Linked DNA regions of Cricetulus griseus. The protein of the gene in region 1 purifies or fractionates together with the protein of each later gene. This does not show direct contact. Links are inferred from orthologs where the notes say so. Each region holds a gene or a part of one and is shown in the gene's direction. Other genes may lie near its edges. The genes, in order: Ap1b1, Ap1m2, Eps15, Ap1s2, Ap1g2 and Ap1s1.

The links.
Region 2: the proteins of Ap1b1 (region 1) and Ap1m2 purify together in Homo sapiens (affinity purification with mass spectrometry; 3 studies listed by BioGRID and IntAct, counting the BioPlex papers as one, with this or other methods). This does not show direct contact. The link is inferred for Cricetulus griseus from reciprocal best matches to the Homo sapiens genes AP1B1 and AP1M2.
Region 3: the proteins of Ap1b1 (region 1) and Eps15 purify together in Homo sapiens (affinity purification with mass spectrometry; 3 studies listed by BioGRID and IntAct, with this or other methods). This does not show direct contact. The link is inferred for Cricetulus griseus from reciprocal best matches to the Homo sapiens genes AP1B1 and EPS15.
Region 4: the proteins of Ap1b1 (region 1) and Ap1s2 purify together in Homo sapiens (affinity purification with mass spectrometry; 5 studies listed by BioGRID and IntAct, counting the BioPlex papers as one, with this or other methods). This does not show direct contact. The link is inferred for Cricetulus griseus from reciprocal best matches to the Homo sapiens genes AP1B1 and AP1S2.
Region 5: the proteins of Ap1b1 (region 1) and Ap1g2 fractionate together in Homo sapiens (co-fractionation; 3 studies listed by BioGRID and IntAct, with this or other methods). This does not show direct contact. The link is inferred for Cricetulus griseus from reciprocal best matches to the Homo sapiens genes AP1B1 and AP1G2.
Region 6: the proteins of Ap1b1 (region 1) and Ap1s1 fractionate together in Homo sapiens (co-fractionation; 6 studies listed by BioGRID and IntAct, with this or other methods). This does not show direct contact. The link is inferred for Cricetulus griseus from reciprocal best matches to the Homo sapiens genes AP1B1 and AP1S1.

What each region holds. Positions count from the first base shown.
Region 1 is NW_023276807.1:99,858,484-99,860,931, reverse strand, and holds part of Ap1b1 (AP-1 complex subunit beta-1), read left to right. Parts: intron 1-523; coding exon 524-653; intron 654-901; coding exon 902-986; intron 987-1,574; coding exon 1,575-1,661; intron 1,662-1,743; coding exon 1,744-1,898; intron 1,899-2,448. UniProt on the Homo sapiens protein: Subunit of clathrin-associated adaptor protein complex 1 that plays a role in protein sorting in the late-Golgi/trans-Golgi network (TGN) and/or endosomes.
Region 2 is NC_048597.1:134,156,971-134,160,470, reverse strand, and holds part of Ap1m2 (AP-1 complex subunit mu-2), read left to right. Parts: intron 1-2,419; coding exon 2,420-2,568; intron 2,569-2,660; coding exon 2,661-2,732; intron 2,733-3,500. UniProt on the Homo sapiens protein: Subunit of clathrin-associated adaptor protein complex 1 that plays a role in protein sorting in the trans-Golgi network (TGN) and endosomes.
Region 3 is NC_048595.1:40,533,908-40,538,074, reverse strand, and holds the start of Eps15 (epidermal growth factor receptor substrate 15), read left to right. Parts: upstream 1-1,367; coding exon 1,368-1,400; intron 1,401-4,167. Other genes in the region: uncharacterized protein LOC103159787, read right to left, coding at 980-1,369. UniProt on the Homo sapiens protein: Involved in cell growth regulation. May be involved in the regulation of mitogenic signals and control of cell proliferation. Involved in the internalization of ligand-inducible receptors of the receptor tyrosine kinase (RTK) type, in particular EGFR.
Region 4 is NC_048604.1:98,735,147-98,739,436, forward strand, and holds the start of Ap1s2 (AP-1 complex subunit sigma-2), read left to right. Parts: upstream 1-1,490; 5' UTR 1,491-1,505; coding exon 1,506-1,684; intron 1,685-4,290. UniProt on the Homo sapiens protein: Subunit of clathrin-associated adaptor protein complex 1 that plays a role in protein sorting in the late-Golgi/trans-Golgi network (TGN) and/or endosomes.
Region 5 is NW_023276807.1:210,295,848-210,300,088, reverse strand, and holds the start of Ap1g2 (AP-1 complex subunit gamma-like 2), read left to right. Parts: upstream 1-1,441; 5' UTR 1,442-1,464; coding exon 1,465-1,490; intron 1,491-1,647; coding exon 1,648-1,852; intron 1,853-2,313; coding exon 2,314-2,438; intron 2,439-2,575; coding exon 2,576-2,717; intron 2,718-2,835; coding exon 2,836-2,932; intron 2,933-3,106; coding exon 3,107-3,183; intron 3,184-3,305; coding exon 3,306-3,401; intron 3,402-3,936; coding exon 3,937-4,017; intron 4,018-4,241.
Region 6 is NC_048597.1:115,987,426-115,991,369, reverse strand, and holds the start of Ap1s1 (AP-1 complex subunit sigma-1A), read left to right. Parts: upstream 1-1,144; 5' UTR 1,145-1,269; coding exon 1,270-1,272; intron 1,273-3,652; coding exon 3,653-3,831; intron 3,832-3,944. UniProt on the Homo sapiens protein: Subunit of clathrin-associated adaptor protein complex 1 that plays a role in protein sorting in the late-Golgi/trans-Golgi network (TGN) and/or endosomes.

The sequences.
Region 1 (2,448 bases):
TACTGAAGCAGCCTTCCCAGTTTACTTACCTAGAAAGAAAGGCAGGACTTTCCTGAACCTGTGGTGTTTGTGTAGCATGGCCAGTTCCAGGCCAGACAGCGAAATCTTGTCTTTGCTGGGGGTGGTCAGATCCCTCTTGAGTTAGGGGTCTAAACACTAAATACCTAGACTGTCAGAGTTTTCCATTGAGAAGCATGAAGTCCAGACCGCTGGTACTGGGTTAGGTCCTAAAGAAAAGGGCAAGGATATGCCGCCTGACCTATCAGGATCCAGCACTAAGATAAACAGCGGCAGAGGTTAGCCTGCCTTAACCAGACTGGAGTGTAGTGCTGGTCTCAGATTCTTGCCTCCTGTCTACATGGCCAGTAGAGCAGGGAAGGTCATGAGTTTGGGAAAAGCTTACTTGATGAAGGAGTTCTTTGTCCATCACCTCTCACCCCACTCCAGAGCACAAAGAGCCAGCCTATCCCATGTCAGTACCCACTCCCCTGGCACCCCTGTGGGGGCTTCTCTCTTTCTTCAGCTTTGGCTTGGCCCCTGCTGCACCACTCCAGGTGCATGCGCCGCTCAGTCCCAACCAGACTGTGGAGCTCTCCCTGCCTCTCAACACAGTGGGCTCAGTCATGAAGATGGAGCCTCTGAACAATCTTCAGGTGTGTCCCCACAGGGCCAGCACCCCATTTCTACTCATGCTCAGTCCTGGGGTGGATGTTAGCCATATCTGTGGAAGGCCTGATAGAGAATTGTGCTCTTGGTTGCACATGGAACCTGGGCAAGGGGACAAAAGGGCATGGCTACAAGGGAGGGTTCTATGAGAAAGCCTGTGGGGTCTCAGAGGTGGTATAAGCCCAAGAATCAGGGTGTCAAGCCTTGGAGACTGACTGGGGACCCCCATGCCTAGGTGGCTGTGAAGAACAACATTGATGTCTTCTACTTCAGCACCTTATACCCACTGCATGTCCTCTTTGTGGAGGATGGGAAGATGGGTGAGTTGTGAAGGGCCCTGGGGATTTGTGCAATGGGACTGAAGCTAGGGAACCTGAGAAGGCTAGTGCTTATAATAAGGATTAACAAGCTTTGCCTTATGATGGGATCTTTGGCAAATCCTAAGGGCCCCATCTCTGGCTTGCAGGTGGCCTATGCCACCTTCCTTGTGAGCCTTGCTGCTCACCCTTCAGCTTGCCCCATGGGCTGCAAAGAACCAGTCACCATACCTGGTGTCCGCCGTCTCCTCAGTACTGGAGTCAGGACCCCAAGAAGGATGCAGGGAAAGCTGGACCTGGGCTGTGTGTGGCATCTCATCATCCTTGCCACAGAGCCATGTCTAAGGAGCAGGCTCCACAGAGGTGGAAGAAGATGAGGTCAGATGTAGGCTAAAGGAGAGGAGAAGCAGGAAGCAGAGGGCACTTAAGAGCAGGCCTGTGTCCTTGTGAGCTGAAGCAGATGGAACTGTGGAAGAGCCAGTGCTTCACTCAGGTGGCACACTGGAGACCAGACCCATTTCCTGCCATGTGATGCTGAGGGGTACAGATTATCAGGGTCCCATCTCTCACCCAATCCTCCTCACCCTGCAGACCGGCAGATGTTCTTGGCCACATGGAAAGACATTCCCAACGAGAATGAAGCCCAGTTCCAGATCAGAGACTGTCCACTCAACACAGGTAAGCCCTGCCCCCAGTGTCCCACTAATTCTCTCCCTGTATCCACCGAATGTGGGCCTCCCATGGCTGTCTGACCCTGCAGAGGCTGCAAGCAACAAGCTGCAGAGCAGTAACATCTTCACTGTGGCCAAGAGGAGCGTGGAGGGCCAGGACATGCTCTACCAGTCTCTGAAGTTGACCAACGGCATCTGGGTACTGGCGGAGCTACGGATCCAGCCAGGCAACCCCAGCTTGACGGTGAGAACCCCTGTTCCCACTCAGGTCTTGACCCTCTACCTCCCTGCCCTGGCGGCACTTCCCCAGTCAGCATTTCTAGTCTGGGCTGTTAAAAAATGGTGATGGGTGTCACTCTGCCACAATCTCTGAGCCTGGTGTGAGAATTGGTTCTTTGAACGTTTAGAAACTTCAGCTCAACCCCCTCAAGTTACCCAGATAAGACACCAAGGGATATAAACACATATACTCAGATAGGGAAATAGTATCACTGGCTACAGGCTTTGGCCCTGCTGCCATATGGGTGCCTGAGTGCCTGGCTAGGGGCACACTGATTCTCAGCAGCTCGTGCCTCTAGACCTTAAATCAGAGCTATCAGAGGACACCTTCAGGGTGGTCTGGATATTCTGTAAACTGCACTGCTGTTCCCAGGCCTAGAGTTCCCAGGCTTTGCTTCCTCCATGCACCCTTGCCTGGTAGGTGTGGCCCTGTAGACACTACCTCCCAATTCTGGTGACCTTGGCGCTGGTGGGTGGGGCTGTGGTGTTAGCTGAGGTGGTGGTAATTTACATCT
Region 2 (3,500 bases), on another chromosome or scaffold:
ATAAGACCCCATCTCAAAACATCACACCAACACAAAAGAAACAAAAGCAGAAATGATACAAATGAGAAAGAAAAGGAACCGAAGAATTGGCTCAGCTAGTACAGTACCTGCACACCAACATAAAGACCTAAGTTTAGATCCCTAGAACACAAATAAAAAGCAGGTATAGCAGGGCAATGATGGTGCACACCTTTAATCCCAGCAATTCAGGGAGGCAGAGGCAGGTGGATCTCTGTGAGTTTGAGCCCAGCCTGGTCTACAGAGTGAGTTCCAAGGCAGACAAGGTTACATGGTAGAACCCTGTCCCCAAAAATAAAATACAAAGAGTGGGCATGGTGGTGTTTATCTGTTCTGTCATACTGGAGGAGTAAGGCAGGAGACCCCAGAGTGCTCTGGCCAGCCCTGTTTGCCAGAGAAACCCTGTCTGGAAAAAGAAAACAAACAAAAAAGCAGGCATAGGGGACTGGAGAGATGGCTCATCAGTTAAAAAGAGCACTGGCTGCTCTTCCAGGAGACCCAGGTTCAATTCCCAGCACTCAGATGGAAGCTCATATCTCTGTAACTCCGAGATCTGATGTCTTCACACAGGCATACATACAGGCAAAATATTAAAGCATATAAAGTAAAAAAACAAAAACAAAAAAAGGCATAGAAGCCAGGCTGTAGTGGTGCATGCCTTTAATCCCAGCATGTAGAAGGCAGAGCAGACAGATCTCTGTCAGGTCAGTCTGATCTACATAACAAGTTCCAGGACAGCCAAGGTTACATGGTAGAACCCTGTCCCCAAAAATAAAATACAAAGAGTGGGCATGGTGGTGTTTATCTGTTCTGTCATACTGGAGGAGTAAGGCAGGAGACCCCAGAGTGCTCTGGCCAGCCCTGTTTGCCAGTTCTCCAGGTTGAATGAGACACCCTGTGTTAAAAGATAAAACAGAGGGCCAGAGAGAAGACTCAGCAGGGAAATTACTTGGCCACAAACACAACGACCTGAATGAGATCCCTAAACCCAGGCAGAAAAACTTGGAAGTGCTGGTATGCATCTGAAATCTCAGCATTCCTTTTAAAGATTTCATTTATTTATGTGTTTACTTGTTTATTATTTGTGGGTATTTTGCCTGTATGTATGTATGTATGTAAGTATGTATATATGTATGTATGTATATATGTATGTGTACCATGTGTGTGCAGTGCCCAGAAAAGCCAGAGGAGGGTGTCAGATTCCCAGGGACTGGAGTTAGTTATATATAGAAGGTTGTCAGCCCCCATGTGGGTGCAGGGAATTGAACCTAGATCCTTTACAAGAGCAGTCAGTGCTCTTAACCACTGAACCATCTCTATAGCCCCAAGAAGTCTAAGCAATCCTATACTTAGTGGAGGCAGAGACAGGAAAATCTTGCAGAAGCTTGTAGGCTAGCTAGATTGGATGACATGAGAGAAGAGAAACAAGTGACCTGATCTTTGGCAAGATGGGAGGGGAGAAGGATGGCAGCCATGTAGCCATGCTCACACACATTAGACAAACCCACAGCAATGTTAAGCATAAAAAGGGCCGTGGCTCAGTGAGATTGCCAGCAAACCTGACCATCTGAGTTCCATCCCTAGGACCCACTTGGTGGAGAGAGAGCTGACTTCTATAAATTGTTTTCTGACCTCCACTTGCACTAGGACCAGCATGCCCCACCTCCAAGTAAATAAATACATGTAATAATAATTTAGGGAAGAAGTTAGGGAGTTTACACATGAATCCATATAGTACATGCATACGTGCAATATACTTACAGGACACATATGCACACAAAGGAGAAAGAAGGGCCTGGAGAGGCAGCCCAGTGACTCAGGGCACTTCTTGCACCTGCAGAGTTCAGTTCCCAGCACCTATAGCCAGTGGCTTACAACCATTCACAATCCCAGTGCCAGGAGCTCTGGCACCGTGTTTTGGCCTCCAGCAGATGCATACACATACAATCATCCAAACACACAAACCTCCATCTAATTAAAAGTACTAAAATTTTTGTCATGCGAGGTGGCTCATGTGTTTAATCCCACTACCTAAGAGGTAGAGGTAGGCAGATTTCTGTGATTGGGAAGCTGACCTGGTCTACAAATGGAATTTCAGGACAGCCAAGATTACGTTAGACCCTGTCTCAAAAAAATAAAATAAAATAAAATAAAATAAAATAAAATAAAACCCTACCACAATTTTTAGAAAACAAAAAACTCCAAATAAAATTAAAGCAGAAAACAGAAGCGTAGGGGTGGGAGGCAGACTCTGGGCTTGTTTCAGCCCCCCCACCACCACCACCACTCAGCCCAGGCCCTGGGCTTCCTCGGCAGACCTACAGAAGGTAGCAGCCAGTAGGGATGGTGGGGCTGAGTGCTCTCCTCAGCCCCAGGGTCACTTTGCTTGCTCCACTCCGAGTTGCAGGCAGCAAGAACAAGTCTGTGGAACTGGAAGATGTGAAATTCCACCAGTGTGTGAGGCTTTCACGCTTTGACAATGACCGCACCATCTCCTTCATCCCCCCGGATGGGGACTTTGAACTCATGTCCTATCGCCTCAGCACCCAGGTGAGCCCGGGAGCCCAGCACAAAGGAGATGGTGGGTAGTGGACCAAGGGCTGACATCAGAGTCTGAGAACTGCCTTCTTGTCTGCCGGCAGGTCAAGCCCCTGATCTGGATTGAGTCAGTCATTGAGAAATTCTCCCACAGCCGAGTGGAGATCATGGTCAAGGTGAGCTCTAGAGGAAGGCTTTCTCAGCAGAGGTTCCATGGCGCCTTCTGCCCAGCAAGGCTCCTGGCTGGGCATGAGGTTTCTGTTTGTTTTTAACCCCCTTTTCCCTTAATTTTTGTGTGGCTGTTTTGCCTGCATGTATGTCTGATTTGCAGAGTTTGCCTGCCTGGTGCCCACAGAGACTGGAAGAGGGCACTGGATCCCCTGGAACTGGAGCCATGGATAGTTGTGAGCCTCCATGTGGGTGCTGAGAATCAAACTGGAATCCTCTGGAAGAGTAGCCAATGTTCTTAGCCACTGAGCCATCTCTCCAGCCCCTCTATTTTTTTTTTTGAAGCAAGATCTCACTGCACAATGCCATGTCTCATGATGGTGATATTGGATTAAACCTCTGAACTATAAGCTGCCATCTCAGTTAAATGTTTTCCTTTATAAGAGTTGCCATGGTCAGGGCTAAAGAGATGGCTCAGAGGTTAAGAGCACCGACTGCTCTTCCAGAGGTCCTGAGTTCAATTCCCAGCAACCATGTAGTGGCTCACAACCATCTGTTATGAGCTATGGTGCCCTCTTCTGGTGTGCAGATATACATGGAAGCAGAATGTTGTATACATAATAAATAAATAAATAAAATCTTTAAAAAAAAAAAAAAAGAGTTGCCATGGTCATGGTGTCTATTGACAGCAGTAGATGCTCTACGAAGACACATGATGCATTAATTATGTCCACCCCTCACCCTCTGGCCCCTCCCAGTCTGCTGACCTCTACCTT
Region 3 (4,167 bases), on another chromosome or scaffold:
GTGTACACTGGTTTGGAGAGGAGATACCTTGCCAAGAAGTGAATTTGGGATGGGACCAGGGCTTTGTGCACACAGGTACCACTGAACTGCACTGTGGTCCTACACATTTGTTTTTAAGTGAACACTCTAAGAGAGAAAGGTAGCAGACAAGGGAAGTAGTCTTGTCCTGCTCCCCAGATTTTGGCTTTAGGAGGAAAGGATTTATTACTTGCCTTCATTTTCAACATGACAGCAGGTAGAAAGGCCTTGGAGTTAAACTGTAATCTGGCTTTTTAGTCAGATGTTTGACTTCAGGTAAGATAATTTCTTTTTTTGGAGGGGTGTTCCTTTTTTTTTTTTTTTAAATTTCAGACAGGGTCGTATGTATCACCTATGTATCCTTGGCTGTTCTGGAACTCACTATGTAGACCAGGACTGTTGGGAAGCTCACAGAGATGTGCCACCATGCCCAGCTGGGTTTCATCTTCCTCATTTGTATAGTTTTTTTTTTTTTTTCTGTTTCAAATCCTCTAGTCACGCAATTAAAAAAGAAAGAAAGAAAGAAAGAAAAGAAAAGAAAAGAAAAGAAAAAAGCCGGGTGGTGGTGAGGCAGAGGCAGGCATACCTCTGTGAGTTTGAGGCCAGCCTGGCCTACAAAGCAAGTTACAGGATAGCAGGACTACACGGAGAAAAACCTGTCTTGAAAAACAAAAACACAAACAACAACAACAACAAAAACAACAAAAGGGCTTTTAGGACTGGAGTGGTAGCGCACACCTTTAATCCCAGCACTCTGGAGGCAGAGGCAGGTGGATCTCTGTGAGTTCGAAGCCAGCTTGAGGCTACATAGAGACACCATGTCTCAAAAGCAAGCAAACAAAAAATTAAAGCATTTAGTGCAGAGCCAATCGCACATAAATTAGTATAGTTTAATATTATTATTGCTAAACCATTGCTATCATTACTTAGTACCATTACTCTCGTAGTTCCCACAACCCACCTGGACCTGGGTATATTTTCCCGCACTTTTCAGGAACAGCAGCCCAGAAAGGTAGGCGTTTTGTCTCAACTTCTCAGGTCTCTGTGGGGGCCGCCTCCGCCGCCAGTCCGCCCGGTGCGCCATCCGCACCGGGTTTTCCAGGGCGGCCGGGGTCAGGGCCTGGTTCCGCGCCCCAGACACCCGCGCCGGGCTTTGCGCGCCGCCGCGGCCTGTGGGGCGGGGCGGCGGCGGGGCGGGGCGGGGCGGGGCGGCGTGAGGAGGGAAGTTGTCGAAGTTCGGGGAGACGCCCGGCCGCCGGCCTCGCCTACGGCCTGTCCCTCCGCCTCCTTCCCGCCCCGGGCCCCCGTCCGCCCGTCCTTCCTTCTTCCCGTGGCATGATGGAAACACCATGGCTGCGGCAGCCCAGCTCTCCCTGACACAGGTAACGCCGCCCGCCGGTCCGCCCGGGTCGACCCGCCGGGTTTCCCCAGCCCTCCCCACCGCTCTCGCGCTGGCGCGGCGGCGCCCCGGGGCGCGCTCGGCGGAGCGCGTGAGGAGCGCGGGCGCGCCCCCGCCCCGAGGCGCGGCCGCCGCGCCCCGCCCGGGTCGCCGGGCGCACGGCTCCGCCCCGCGCGGCTCCCACCCTGCCGCCTCCGCGGGTCTCCGCTCCGCTCCCCTCCCGGTCCCGTCAGCGCTCACGCTCTCGGGAAGTTTCTCTGCGGGCCTGACGGCCGCCAGGTGAACTCCCGTAGGGCTCGCGCAGTGCGAGGCTCGCCCTCGGCGGAGCGGGGTTCCCTCAGCTTTGCTCGGCTTTGGCGTGCGGGAGTGACCGCTGCCGAGATCCCCCCGGCTCCCCGAGTCATCCTCGCTTCCAGAAGTCGCAGCCTGCCCAGGTACTTGCCCCACTCGCGCCTCTCCCTCCTGGCAGGTTAACTTCTGCTCAGATCCCCTTGCAGACTTTCCCACCCGTGCGGGGCAGTCTCGGATCGCCGACCCAGTGGGTAACAGCGCCAGCCTTCAGCAGGTGGGGTGGCCCTGTCCTTCGCCGTCTGGGATCCCCCGGGGGACATAACTTTGTCCTAGGACGATTTCATCCAAAAGCTGTTTTCGATCTCTCTGAATCGCTCCCCCGTCTCGCTATTTCGTCCCCCCCCACCCCCGTTTTCCTTCATAGTCAAGTCCTAGAGTTTCATAGGGAACTCTTGAACATATTCACTCAGGAGAGCCGGAGTTCTCCGTTTCTTTAAACCCAAGAGCAATCCGACATCCAGGAGAGTGAGGTGCCATACACCTGCCATTCCATCCATCTTAACTGCCCAGAAGTTTGTCCTCCCCAGAGCTGGTAACTGCCCACCTCAGCTTTACAGCCTGCCCTGTGATAGCTCCCTTCCATCTTGTCTCTTCGGCCTAGATTTACTTGACTTAAGCTAAAGTTTTTACACTAAGGTAGGGCATGTGTTTGGACAGTAGACTCTTACTGTGTTACGATGAAGGAGTCTTATGATTTTTTCTTTTTCTTTTCCCCCTAGCATTTTTGGATAGAAAAGAAAAAAAGTATCTTCCCTAGGGACCAGGATGGAGATTTTACTTACTTTGAGACAGGGTTTCATGTAGACCAGGCTGTCCTTGAACTCAGTGAGTAGTCAAGAATAAATTGAATTTTGGCTCATTCTGCCTCCATTTCCCAAGTGCTGGGATTATAGGCTGGGCCACTATACTAAGTTTATTTATTGCTAGGGATCAAACCCAGGACTTCATGACGGCTAGGCAGGTACTCTACCAACTAAGCCACATGCCCAGAAAAAGTGATTATATATATTATATATAATATATATAGTCTCTGTCTCCGTGCCCCCCCCCACACATCTCTTCAGGTAAAAGAGTTTCAGTGTACAGGAATAGCCTCACAAACCTCACTGCACATTTATTTCCTGTGGGTCATTATGTTTTGATCAGCAGATAACAGGGAAAACTTTTAAGATAGAGCCTTTAACTGGTCTAGTCTTGGTCATTAATCTGTTTGGAACGATCATTCTGAAACTCAAATTTGGGGAATGGAAACATTGACTTTTGGGTGTTGACTTTCTTAGTCTAGTTAGTGACCTGCCTTAAACATGATCTCTGTTGGCAGTCTGTTCTGACTCTGTTGGCTAATTCTGGCAGTTTCCCCTCTTAAAGAATTCGTTCCCTTGAAGACTTCTTAGTTGTGTGCCTACTTGATTTTCTCCTTGGATGGGACTGTGTTTTTAGTTTCTGTTTACTATCATTCATCTCTGGAAATTTGCTTCAGGCTCTTACTTTTATAGTCACTTTCACAATTTACATATGTTCTTGTGGTTATATATTTAGGTGTTAACATGTATGCAGAATAAATGCTGAATCAATAAGGGGAATTGAACTTTAGTATCCAGTGTTTGAATTTATATTAATAATTCAAATAAGTCAATTTAGAATATTTTGATATTAAAATACCAAGATTCAGTGAGATTATATTGTAAAGGCACAGAAGAAAACTGTTTTTAAATATTTACTAATGTGTCTTCCTTTGAAACCTAGTAAATTTAGCCTGGCGTTGGTGGTGTATGTCTTTAATCCCAGCACTTGGGAGGCAGAGACAAGCCGATCTCTGTGAGTTCAAGGCCAGCCTTGTCTACAAATTGAGTTCCAGGACAGGCTCCAAAGCTACAGAGAAACCCTGTCTCCAAAAACCAAACCAAACAACAAACAACTCCCCCCCCCAAAAAAAAAAATCTAGTAAATTTGTGGTTCTTAGATCGAGTTAATTAATGTATATGAATGTTTTGCCTGCATGTATATATGTATATGTTGGCATGTGCATGCCTGGTGCCCATGTAAGTCAGAAAAGGGTGTCAAATCCCCTGCAGCTAGAGTTATGGATGGTTATAAACCATCATGTGGGTGTTGGGAACCCAACCTGAGTTCTCTGCAAGAGCAATAAGTGGTCTTAACCAGAGTTAAGTCTCTACAGCCCCTGGTTTTTAACGTGTGTGTGTGTGTGTGTGTGTGTGTGTGTGTGTGTGTGTGTGTGTGTGTGTGTGTGTGTGTGTGTGTGTGTGTGTGTGTTCTGAGACAGTCTCACTATATAGCGCAACCATGGCCTTGGCTGCCTGGGACTTTGTAGACCAGGCAGGCCTCAAATTCAGTTATACCCACGTCTGCTAGGTTTAATTTTTTTTTTTTTAAGTTAA
Region 4 (4,290 bases), on another chromosome or scaffold:
GGGATTTGCGGCAAAATCAAAGCGAGGGAAAAGGAATACTTCTGCCACGGTTTTCGTCCCATGTTAGCACATCATTTGTTTTAAGGAAAATGCGTGGTTTCCTGGTCCTCCAAAGTGGTAGGGCGGATGCTGGACCCTGCTACAGATAGCCTAGAGCGCACTCCTGTCGTTAGCAAACCCTCTCTCCTGGTCACCAAGATTTGAGAAAACCCAGTCGTTTCCTTCCCCAAGTTCTAGTAACGGTTTGCGTTGAATGTCCAGTTGATGCTTTACTTGTCGTCCTCTTCGAATGCTGCTGTCTTCAGAACTTATATGGGCGGCACTTTGCTATCAATGAATTATATAGCGTGTTGTGGGTAATAGCCAATTTTAACTTCATTAAAGTTAAATGGCTACGCCATAAATTTCCGCATGTTTTCTTGAAGCCTTTTGGGGATATTACGAAGTGAATTTCCTGTCGAAATTTAGAGCCAGTTTGATTTTATATTAGTTACGTAAATTCCTCCTCCCGGTGTTCAAATTTAAGGTGGTGTGGTGAATATTAAGATCTGCCTTGGGGTCTTACTTGCACTGGCTGGTGCTGTTAAAGGAACTTAAAAGGGTTAAAAGAGAACACCTAACCGAATTTACCTTCAAATTAGCTTTACAATAGAGCTCCTTTTTACCAGTTGAATTATAAAATACCTGCCTTAGAAAATGTAGCCTGACCAACAGACATGCAAATGCTAAGTAAATACATACAAATTACCGTCTAGTGTGTACAAAACACACTAGAATCCAGCATATATTCAAATATATTTTTATTTTAAAATAAGTATTTTGTGAAATGTCTCAAATTTTGTTTTTAAATTAAGTATTCTCTGCAGTGTCTCAATATAAATAACTTTTGGTTAAGCCTTTCAGACTTGTATTATTCTCTTTCACATTTTACATTAATTCAGTTCTCCAGTGCTTATTTGTGTTAGATCTTACAAAAGTGAAATGCAAACATAAAAATCAGGCTTTTGTTAAGAAAATGTGTTGTTTGTGAGATCTTTTTGATTAATATTCTGTTTTGCTTACATATGTTAGCATAAATTGAGGGGAGTGCTTTAAGTGATAATCAGTCTGGCTGCAAGAAATTCAGCCTGGAACTAGAATAGTCTCGGGGTAGTACCTAAATCAACTACCTGATGTCTACAGTTGCCTTTTGATGCATATAGTGTGGAATGTGTAGCACAAGGAGAAAATTGTTTCTTAAATAATCAGAGTTCTTCAAAAATTTCACTCCAAATTCCCACCTGTTCTTCTTGCCATACACTCTCTTCTACACTTACCTACATATAGTAAGAAGATCTTGCCAAAAGAATTTCCTGCTATTATAGCCTGAATAGATGTGTTGATGGCTTACTAATCATTTGGCTGGGTATTTTCTGTATCCCCAAAGCAGCTCTGAAAAACCATGTGATCTTAACTCTTAATTCCTAGGTAATTGTATGTAATCTTGATTTTATTTATCTTAACAGATGCAGTTTATGTTGCTTTTTAGTCGTCAGGGAAAGCTTCGGCTGCAGAAGTGGTATGTCCCACTCTCAGACAAAGAGAAGAAGAAGATCACAAGAGAACTTGTTCAAACGGTTTTAGCTCGGAAACCTAAGATGTGTAGCTTCCTTGAGTGGAGAGATCTGAAGATTGTTTATAAGAGGTATCATTTTTGTATTTATCAGAAAGGTGAAATATGATCAAACATTAGGTTTATCTCTAATGAGAAAACTGCAGACTTTTTATGTCAATCAACAAGGATTAACAAATATTTCAATGAAATAAGTTAGTTTAAAGGAAAACTTTCCTTTTAAAAATAATGGCTGTTTTGATTGCTTGCCTAAAGCTAAAATGCTAGCAGCAGGGTAATCATTATTAAATTAATTATATAATTACAGCCAAACAATTATTTGTGCTTGGTCAACATTTTAGAAAAATTCAATGAATTCATTTCATTACAGGGGTAGTAGGGACACTATTTTAAATTTTTAAGTAATTTGATAAATAATGGGCATGCATAGATAATAGTGTGATAATCCTTCCAAAAAATCTATAAAGATTTATCAAGTAGCTGATATTTGGCATTCCTTTTATCTGACTTCTATATTAATCTTACTTATAAAGACCCTGAGCACATAGACCATTTCACTATACAGATGTTTAAGTACTTGTGTCTATACAAGATCTCTTTGCTAGTAGTATTTTTAATTTCAAATAGACTTGTTGCTATGGCGGAGTTCTGCTTAGATATGATAATTTTACCAAGGATAGATTTTTTTTAAAAGTGATGTTGCAAAATAACTTATAGATTAGCTTTTTACACAGTTTTTTTCTTTAATGCTATACATCTTTATTTTATATTATAGACTGTTTTTAGAGGGAACATTTCTTGTTTCTTTCCCATTTTTGGTCTTTTTTGAATAATTTACTGAATTTAAGATAAAAGCATTTCTTCATATAAAACACTCTTGTATGGGGAGTGTACAGAAAACTAACAGTAGGAAATGCAATGAAGGTGGAAAGAAATCATGTTTTCTTCTATTTTCTGATACAACATTCCAAGTATGGATGGGCTTTGTGGTGGAGGAGGTGACAGAGTAAGAAATGAGATTTATAGGACATAAAACCCTCTTAGGTGCTTTAGACTTATCTTTATTTCATAATGAATTTCATCAGTCTGGGTGGTTTTTTAAATTCAGTGTTTGGCTTGGTACTGGTTGAGAAAGATCATAGGAAAATCATAGCATTTGAAAGCTGGGAAATGCCTTAGAACAATCTACACGTACACACTCTCACACACAAAATATATATCTTTTTGACAGGGATAGAGTCTTGACTAAAACAAGTAGAAATACAGTTGCTTTTGTGGAATGAAAAATAAGAAGCTGTGCCCTGGCTCAATTGGCCTCTGCTCTCTGCACTAGAGAGAGGTCTTCAATTTGAAAAACAGTTACTGTTCAAATTTCAATTTATAAAAGATGAGAATTTGTGAATAGTGGTTTGGCCCAAGGTCATATACTAGTGATGGGCATGGGGCTACAACTTGTCTTAAGTGTAGAGGCAATGGTTTTAAACAGATGTGGGAAGAAATAAAGATTAGATTTGCATTTTTGAAAAGATTGCTGTGAAACCTTGGCTGGGGGAGTGAAAGGGGCTGAGACTGGCACCTGCAGGATCAGTGAGGGACTGCATGATAATTGGGTCCTGAGCTGAGAGGCTGGAAAGGAGACCTGTTACCTAGGTAAGTCTCAGTAGACTTGGCCACCCCAAGAAGCAGAGATAGCAACCAAGGAAAGAGGGAGTACAGTGGAGGCACCTCCATTTCTAGAGTTTGGCTTATGGGATGAAAGGTAAGCTAGAGAATTCAGTTAATTTGGTGACAAGTTGATATGGCCATATTTGTTCACTTGGCTCTCTGATGGGATGTGGTGGGCATAGGCATGGAACTTGAAGGTGACAATTAAACTTAAAGTATTAGATCACTAGCATTCAGGTGCAGATGGAAGGGCTAAAGAGGAGGCTTGCAGATCAAAATGAGAAAGAAGCAAAGGAGTGATGTTAGGTAAGTAAAGCCCAGGAGCAGATAAATTTGAGAGTAAAACACTAATGCCAGCTGTTCATGAAATTCAGTAAAAGTGAACAGCTCTTAGAATCTTAAGAGTAAGCACTTCATGCATTGCCCTGTTGCCAGAACATTGTCAGTGGAGTAGAGACAGAATTCGTGATATAACGAGGTGAAGATAGAGAAGTTGAAACCGCATGTGTAGAGTATTTGGGAGAGCTTTGCCAAGGACAGAAGAGGTGGTAACTGCTGGCTAGATCTGTATTCTGGAATCCTGGATAGGGTTTATAAAAGATGTGAGAAGTTTAAGCTTATTTCTAGATAGTGAAAGGAGTCCCCCGTGTGGAGGAGGAAAATCCTAGCAAGAGAACAAGCCCATGAATGGGGCCATTCAGAGGAAGAAAAGGAAACAGCAGGTTGGAGCTCGTAGACTTGTCGCTCAGCCTATTCTGGTGATCTCCCTACCTTTTTCAGAAATGATAAAAGAGAACTCCAACCTGATCTGATATTTAGATCAAAGTTTTTTTTCAAATGAAATTTGGAATTAACAAAAAGAAAAATAGCTTTATTGAGATGTTTCATATATAAAATACAGAGTGTATAATGTTTTTCTATAGGCTCCCTCGCATTTCATACTGAAAACTTCATTTACTTCCCACTTAACCATGTATTTTGTTATTATCAGGTGATGTGTTTTCCCTGCTCAG
Region 5 (4,241 bases), about 110 Mb from region 1:
GCTAAGTTCTTGCCTAACTTGATCCTTCCCCGAGGGAGAAAAGGGGAGTGAACAGCAGAAAACTCCCTAGATGTTCCCTGTCCTTTGCTCCTCAGCCAGTCCCTCTCCCAACCCCCAAGGATGGCATGCTGTGCCAAGTGCAATGTGAAAAGCAACAAAAACTATTTGGTGCACCAAGCCCACTCCTCTCAGACTCTGCCACTCACCTCTCTATCCTTTTCTGCCCCCTAAAAATTTATTTGGTTGGTCTGGACTCACTTGTGGCCTTTGATTAAATTCCTAAGGGGCCTGAAGAAGACACTTCTGCCGAGGGTTAGAGGCACGGGAGCAATCGAAGACTCCGCTCCTCAGTTCTGGCAGTTGTGGGGAGCACTTCTAGAGGATAGAGCCAAGTCAGATAAGAGCCGGAAGGGCAGCAGAAGCTGCAACAAGTCTAGTTGTTTCCAGCCCATCACATCAGAGTCCTGTGAGATGGGAACACAAAGGGGAGTCAGAGGAAGCAATGTCTCCCACACTTCCCAGGCAGGGCAGAGGTGGGCGGGCGCCAACCCCAGGTGAGAAGTGGGTGAAGAAGAGCCCTGTTTGAGATATGGCTGATCCCTGTTACTAGCTTTTCCTCTGGGGACAGAAAGCTCTACAAGAGGAAACTGTAGAGCCCAGGGGAACTTTCCTTCCCTGCATGAGGCAGAGGCAAGCTGCCTGCCAACCCCCTTCCTCAAGGAATGGCCTTGCCCGGGAATGCCCACCACACACACTCTTCTTATTTTTCTAGTCAACCTCTGTTTACTCCCTGGCCTGCCTTCCTCCTCCCTCCCTTCTCAACCTTTACTTCTGATTTCTATATCATGGAATTTGGGATTGACGTTATACAACAGTGCCGCCAACACAAGTCTTGCAGGAAAAAAAAATACAAAGAAATTTAACAAAAAAAAAGTATATTAATAAAAAAGTTCCAAAAAGGGGGGGACTGTTATCTCCTTTGGAGTGCGATGGTTTCAAATTCAAGCTGAGTGTCACCTGATGGGTGGGTAATAAAGGAGGCCCCTTGGGGAGCCACAGTTCTGTAACAACTCGAGGCTCCTTCCCAAAGTTCCAAAGACTGAGGCCAGAGGTCAGAAATCTCAAGGCTGCTCAGTCTTGCAGCTCTAGAGGGGCGGGGTCCCGTAGTAGAGGCGGGGAAGAGGGAAGGACAGAGACCAACCACCAAGCCCAGCCGCGTCCTATACCAGGAAGTGCTGGGTGGGGGTAGAGAAGCAGAGTTGACACCGAAGCCAGGTGAGGTTGGGACCGGGAAACTGATACCTCCTGAGATGGGAAGGGGAGCAGGGAATCTCGCAAAAGAAATAGTTCAGGGATCCAGAAGGAAAACTAGAGGTAAGAAACTTGTCGGGGAAGGAAAGCAAGAAAGGGACTGGGCTTTAGCGCAGGCTCAGTAGAAAAAGACACGGGGTGGGGCGAGGACGCATGCGTAGTGGGGATGTCCTTGCGAGGTAGGATGGTCGCTCTCGGTTCCAGGTGGGAGGTAAATGTGGGCACAGTTTTAGGATGGTGGTGTGACTCAAGCCCTTGAAGATCTTGGCACAGAGCAATTCTAGCTATCTGGCTGGAATGGGTTAAAGCCTTTCCACTCTCGGGCTCTGCCCCCAGGATGGTGGTGCCTTCGTTGAAACTTCAGGACCTAATCGAAGAGATACGCGGGGCCAAGACTCAGGCCCAGGAACGGGAAGTGATTCAGAAGGAGTGTGCTCAAATTCGGGCCTCCTTCCGCGATGGGGACCCTCTGCAGAGGCATCGCCAGCTGGCCAAATTGCTCTACGTCCACATGTTGGGCTACCCCGCCCACTTTGGACAGGTACTGACCCGGGATAGCTACAAAACTTGAGGAAGATGATCAATGGGCCCCTTTGTGTATTTGTATCCCGTTTGCTTCTTTCTCTAGTTTTTGTTTTGTTTTGAGACAGGTTGTCTATGTAGCCTAGGCTAGCTTAGAACTGGCGAAAATCCCTCCCTCGGTTTCAGTGTTGGGATTTTCAGGCATACCACATTCCGCCCAGCTAAATCCTTTAGTTTCTGAGCCTTTTATCCATTACTCTACTAGCCAGCCCCGTTCTTAGCACCTTCCCAGCCTCCACTCCTACACAGGTCCCTGAAGCCTGCCTGCCATCATCTGGATCTCCAATTAAGCCTCTGGTTAAAGAGAGGGTGATGAAATTTGATTTCCTCACAAGTTAATCTGGCCTTAAGGAGGAGGATGCCGCAAAATTAGTGCTGTGGTTTCACACTACTCTTCCTGGCCTGCCTCCTTCCCTGTAGATGGAGTGCCTGAAACTGATCGCCTCCCCCAGATTCACAGACAAGAGGGTGGGCTACCTTGGGGCCATGCTTCTATTGGATGAGAGGCACGATGCCCATCTGCTCATTACCAACAGCATCAAGAAGTGAGAGGGCTCTGGGGTGCTTCAAATCAGGGCGTTGGGAGAGTGGGAACCGCAAAATCCCAGAGGGCTGCCTGCTATCAGTACTGGGAAGAACTGGTTTCCCCTGGCTTGACTGACCGTCCTTCCAAACCCTACAGTGACCTGAGCCAAGGGATTCAGCCAGTTCAGGGTCTGGCCCTGTGTACTCTCAGCACCATGGGCTCTGCTGAGATGTGCCGAGACCTAGCCACCGAGGTGGAGAAGCTGCTCCTGCAGCCTAGCCCCTATGTACGAAAGAAGGTGAGATGTAGACCTCTAGACATCTGCCTCTTCAGAAGGTGTTCCCAATCTGCCACATAGGAGAGGTGCGGAGTCTGACTTACTTGGTGGCCCTATCTGAGGCCCTTGACTTCTGCAGGCTGTTTTGACCGCTGTGCATATGATCCGGAAGGACCCCGAGCTCTCCAGCGTCTTCCTCCCACCTTGTGCCAAACTGCTCCATGAGCGCCATCATGGTAAGGGCACAGGGCTCTCCACTGTCCACTTCAGGTCTGGCTATGGATAGATGAAATGAAAAGCAAATCAGGAAGCCCTGCTCATCGGACAAGGGTGGTGCACACATACAAACACACGTGTAGTAGACTGTCCCATGGCCTGGCCCGCCATTCACTGCCCCACCCTGACCCCAGGCATCCTGCTGGGCACCACCACGCTGATCACGGAGCTCTGTGAAAGAAATCCTGCAGCCCTCAGGCACTTTCGCAAGGTGGGCTAGTGAAGGGGCAGGCCGTGGGGCAGGCAAAGGCGGGAGGTGGGTGAAGAATCGGGGCTGATGGTTGAGAAGAGAGGAGGTACCCTCAGACAAGGCTGCCTGTGCCCTTCTTCCAGGTGGTACCCCAGCTGGTACAGATCCTCCGGACTCTAGTGACAACAGGATACTCAACAGAGCATAGCATCTGTGGAGTCAGTGATCCCTTCTTACAGGTAAGCTGAGATGTACTTGTATCCCTGGAACAGCAAAGGCTTCACAGGAAGACCATGGCTGGTAGTCACTTTCCATTTTGGCACAGTCCAACTGGCAAGCTCATGATTGCTCTAGTCATCCTAGGACTGGGGATAGGGAATCAAAGGTAGCTACCAAAAAGTCAGAAAATCCAGTTTGGTAACCATATAAAAAGCCTGTTCCAAAGCCGGGTGTGGTGACACATGCCTTTAGTCCTAGCACTTGGGAGGCAGACAGAGGCAGGCGGATTTATGCAAGTTCAAGACCAGCCTGGTCTACAAAGCAAGTTCTAGGATATCCAGGGCTACACAGAGAAACCGTGTCTCGAAAAACAAATCAAAAAAGGCCTGTTCCAACCCCCCCTGACTCTACACAACTCTGATCTCCTCCCAGGGTCCAGGGATCTGTTGGGTGGGGGCGTGCTGGGAGTCAGAACCCTCGGTGTTGCCCACAGTGTTAGGTGTTTTCACTTCAGGCCCACGACATTATCCTATAAACCTTCTAATCCAATCTCAGGTCCAGATACTTCGTCTGCTTCGAATCCTGGGACGGAACCATGAAGAAAGCAGTGAGGCCATGAATGACTTGCTGGCCCAGGTAAGAGGCACCCCTTCGGCATGTGGTTCCTTAGGGTCCATCAGCCCTGGACTTTCCTCACATGACCATTTATTATTCAGAAGTCTCCTAAACCAATGAATTCCGTGAAGGAAGGATATAGTCTGTCATTGTTCTATCACCCTAGTGTACAGGCAGTTCTTACATAGAGTAGGGATCAGGGAACTTTGTTAGGGGCAGAAGGACAGAGAAGAGAGAACATAGTA
Region 6 (3,944 bases), on another chromosome or scaffold:
GGGGTTTTGTTTTTTGTTTTGACACAGTGCCTCAGCCCAGAATGTGAACTTGTTATGTAGCCAAGGATAACTTTGAACTCTGATTCTGATCTGTCTACATCTGCTTTCCAAACTACAGTATTACAGGTGTATACCCTCACATCCAGTTACACACACACACACACACACACACACACACTATATATATATGTATTATATATAAACAAAAAAAGACACTTGCATCTAATAAGTTCTCAACACTAAAGCTCTATACTGTTTTACTTTTTTGGTTTTGTTTTGTTTCTCGAAACAGGGTTTCTCTGTGTATCCATGGATGTCCTGGAACTCGCTCTGGAGACCAGGCTGGCCTTGATGCCTCTGCTTCCCGAGTGCTGGGATTAAAGGCATGTGCCACCAACGCCCGGGTATTTAAAATTTTTAAGGTTACATTTCATATATGTATTTTGTGTTGCGTGGGAGCATGTACAAACCAGGGTACTTGACTGTGTGGATGTCAGGACAGCTTGCAGGGTCAGTCATTCCCTTTCACCTTCTATGGGGGGGGGGGCATCTCTATGATTGGAGCCATCACACCGGCACTGTTTTGTGTCACTTTGCTTAAGATAGGCTCTCTCGAGCACGCCACTTAGCTGAGGCTGAACTTGAGCTACAATTTGCTCCTGTCTGTCTGCCTTCAAAGCGTTGGAATCACAGGTGTACACCACCGCGCCTGCCTTGCTTGTTTGGGGACAGAATATTGTTGTGTAGCCCTGAGCTGATCTTGAACTCTGTTCCCGCACCACCCCGCTTTGAGTGATGTTTTCCTCCTTTTCTGCACACCGTGTTCAGCTCCCGGAATCATCCTTGCTTCTTCATAAACTCTAAAGATCGAGCATCCACCTCTCACCCTTTTCCCGCCTTTCCCCCCCTACAAATGCTCCAGAGCTCAAGGCCCTCGTTGTCCCCTACCTCCGCCCTTCCCATCCTCCAATCAGCCCACCAGGACAGCCTTGTTACCATGACAACCGAGCTTCTGCAAAGCTGAAGTCAAGGACCTGGTTGCCATGGTTTCCGCTTCTCCGCCTTCAGCCCCTCCCGCCTCTGGGTGGGACCGGGAGGGGGAGAGCGCGGCAGCGCTGGCGCCTGCGCAATGCGGCCGCGCGGGGGAGCCGGCGAGGCCGGGGGGCGGGGCTTCAGGCGGAGAGGGAGGGAAAAGAAAAGAATCCGACGGGCCGCGGAGCGGGCTCCTACGGTGGCCGGAGAGGGACGTGCCGGGCCGGAGGCTGCAGGATGGTAGGCAGTGCTGAGAGGGAGGGGACGGGGGACCCGAGGGGCGTGGGCTGTACCTGCGGGGGTCCGGAGGGGGCAGCGTTTGGTGGGAGTCGCCCTGTCTTCCCTGTGGTCCGCTGAGGATCCACTTCCCGGAGCGGCTGGGCGAGCCGACCTCGGGAGCTGGAAATGGCACTCGGGACAGGGGCGGGGAGGAGTCTCGTTGGTTGGGCTGCAGGGTGGCGGGACTGTCCCGAGCAGGGTCAGCGTTCGGGACACGGGGTCCTGTCCTGGAGACGCCCCGGGCGCCGTGGCGGGGGAGCCACCCGCGGAGAGGGGCCCCGGGATCCCCGGGGGTCGCGGTGGCCGAGCCCCCTCCGGGAGGCCCGCGCCTGAGCGCACGGTGCGGCAGGAGGGAGGCGGGAGGGAGGCAGGGGCGGTTTCCGGGTCTCCACAGCTGACCCCCGACTCCGTAGTCGGGGAGCCTGGGCTCTGGAGGACGCGCCGACTCTGCCGTTCCCACCTTCCCACCACCGCGGTCCAGTTTCCTTCCCCAGCCCAGGCCTTCCGTCTTCCTGCCCGCACTCGGCTCCCTCAGTTCTTCACATCCCCTGGCCCCCACCAGCCACCGCCCCTGCTTTCTGGGGGTCTTTGTTCCTTTTAATTGATGGCCTGGAAGCTGAATTGCCGCACACACCCAGAGATTCCAGCCCTGGCCGTGTTCACAGATCTGTTTGCTGGGAATTGAGTTCAGGTTTTGGAAGCAAGAGCCCCCTGCAACTGGGAAGAAACTAGATCCAGGAAGCAATGAGGACTCTCATTCCACAGACATTCCCTAGGAGAGCCATCGGGGTCACTGGACTCTCTGTGAGGGACTTCGTGATCTGGTGTCTGGGACCCGTAACCCAGGCACTCAGGAGGATCAGAAAATCAAGGGCAGCCTTGGCTACATATGAAATATAGGTCAGCCTGAGCTACATGAAGCCCTGTCTCAAAAAAAAAAAAAAAAGAAAGAAAGAAAGAGAAGAGGGCCAGAGAGATGGCTCAGCTTCTAAAGGTACTTGACAACCTGAATTCAATCCCTGGAGTCCTCACAGTGGAAGGAGAGAACTGTCCTTAAAAATTTTAAATAGCTGGGCGTTGGTGGCACACACCTTTAATCCTAGCACTATGGAGGCAGAGGCAGGCGGATCTCTGTGAGTTCGAGGCCAGCCTGGTCTCCAGAGCGAGTGCCAGGATAGGCTCCAAAGCTACACAGAGAAACTCTGTCTCGAAAAACCAAAAAAAAAGCAAAGAAAAAAAAAGAATTCCTTAATGCAGGAAAGATGCCTAAGTCATTGAGAGTACTTGCTGCTCTTCCAGAAGAACCAGTTCAGTTCCCAACACGTATATCAGGCAGCTCACAACCTTCTGTAGCTCCTGATCTGATGCCTCTGGCCTGCATGGGCACCTGCACTCATCTGCACATACCCAGTATATAGACACACAACATAAACTTACACATAACTAAAAATAGTAGTGGGCTAGAGAGAGGGCTCAGTGCTTAAGAGCATGTGTTGCTCTTGCTGAGGACCTGGGTTTGGTTCCTGTCACCCACATGGTGACTTATAACCATCTATAACCCTGGTTCTGGGGTATCAACAGGCATGTGTGTGACACATACATGTATGCATGTGAGTATTGAGTATTTCATACACATAAAGTAAAATAAATCTTTAAAAAATAAGAAAAGCAAATCTTAAAAGAATTCTATAAGGAAGGTAATTTTATGGTTTCTGTCTTTCGAGTAAAGAAACTGAGGTTCAAAGACTTTTTTTTTTTTTTTTTTACAAAGCCAGTAAGATAGATCAGCAGACAAAGGCACTTGCTGCCAAGGCTTGGGTATCTAAATTTGATTCCTGGAGCTCACATTGTAGAAGCAGAGATCCAGTTCCCAAAAGCTATCCTCTGAACTACACACACACACACACACACACACACACACACACACACACACACACACGTAATAAAATGTTTTTGTGCTTATTATTTGTGTGGATGTGTGCTTGCCATGGCAAGAGTGTAGAGGTTAAAGGACAGCTCGTGGGAGTCAGTTCTCTTCTGTAATTTGGGTCATGGGTATTGAACTCAGGCTTAATAGCAAGCACCAATTTAGCTATCTTGCTGGCCCAGTATAAATTAATTTGCCTGAGGTTGTATTCAGCTACTAGGGCCAGGATTGGAACCCACACAGCAGGCTTGACTTTCCCTCAGGAAGAACATTCTTCTTCTCTACCCAGCTGGGACAGAAGTTTTGAAGAAGGTAGTGGTGAATACCGCTGAGTCTGGGGCTTTGCGCTCATGCAAGGAAAGAGGCTCCAAACCCATTCTCTGCCCCTCAGCTCTGGTCCTTCCTCCCTTCCAGATGCGATTCATGCTACTGTTCAGCCGGCAGGGGAAACTTCGGCTGCAAAAATGGTACCTGGCCACCTCGGACAAGGAGAGGAAGAAAATGGTCCGGGAGCTCATGCAGGTTGTGCTGGCTCGAAAGCCCAAGATGTGCAGCTTCCTGGAGTGGAGGGACCTCAAAGTTGTCTATAAAAGGTGACACTCCATCCATTTATTGTTTTCAGTGTACATGAATTGCTCTGGAGTTCACACTGGGTTAAAACGACTGAGAAATAACTCTGTCTCTCTGAAGTCGGGGAGAGCTCCAA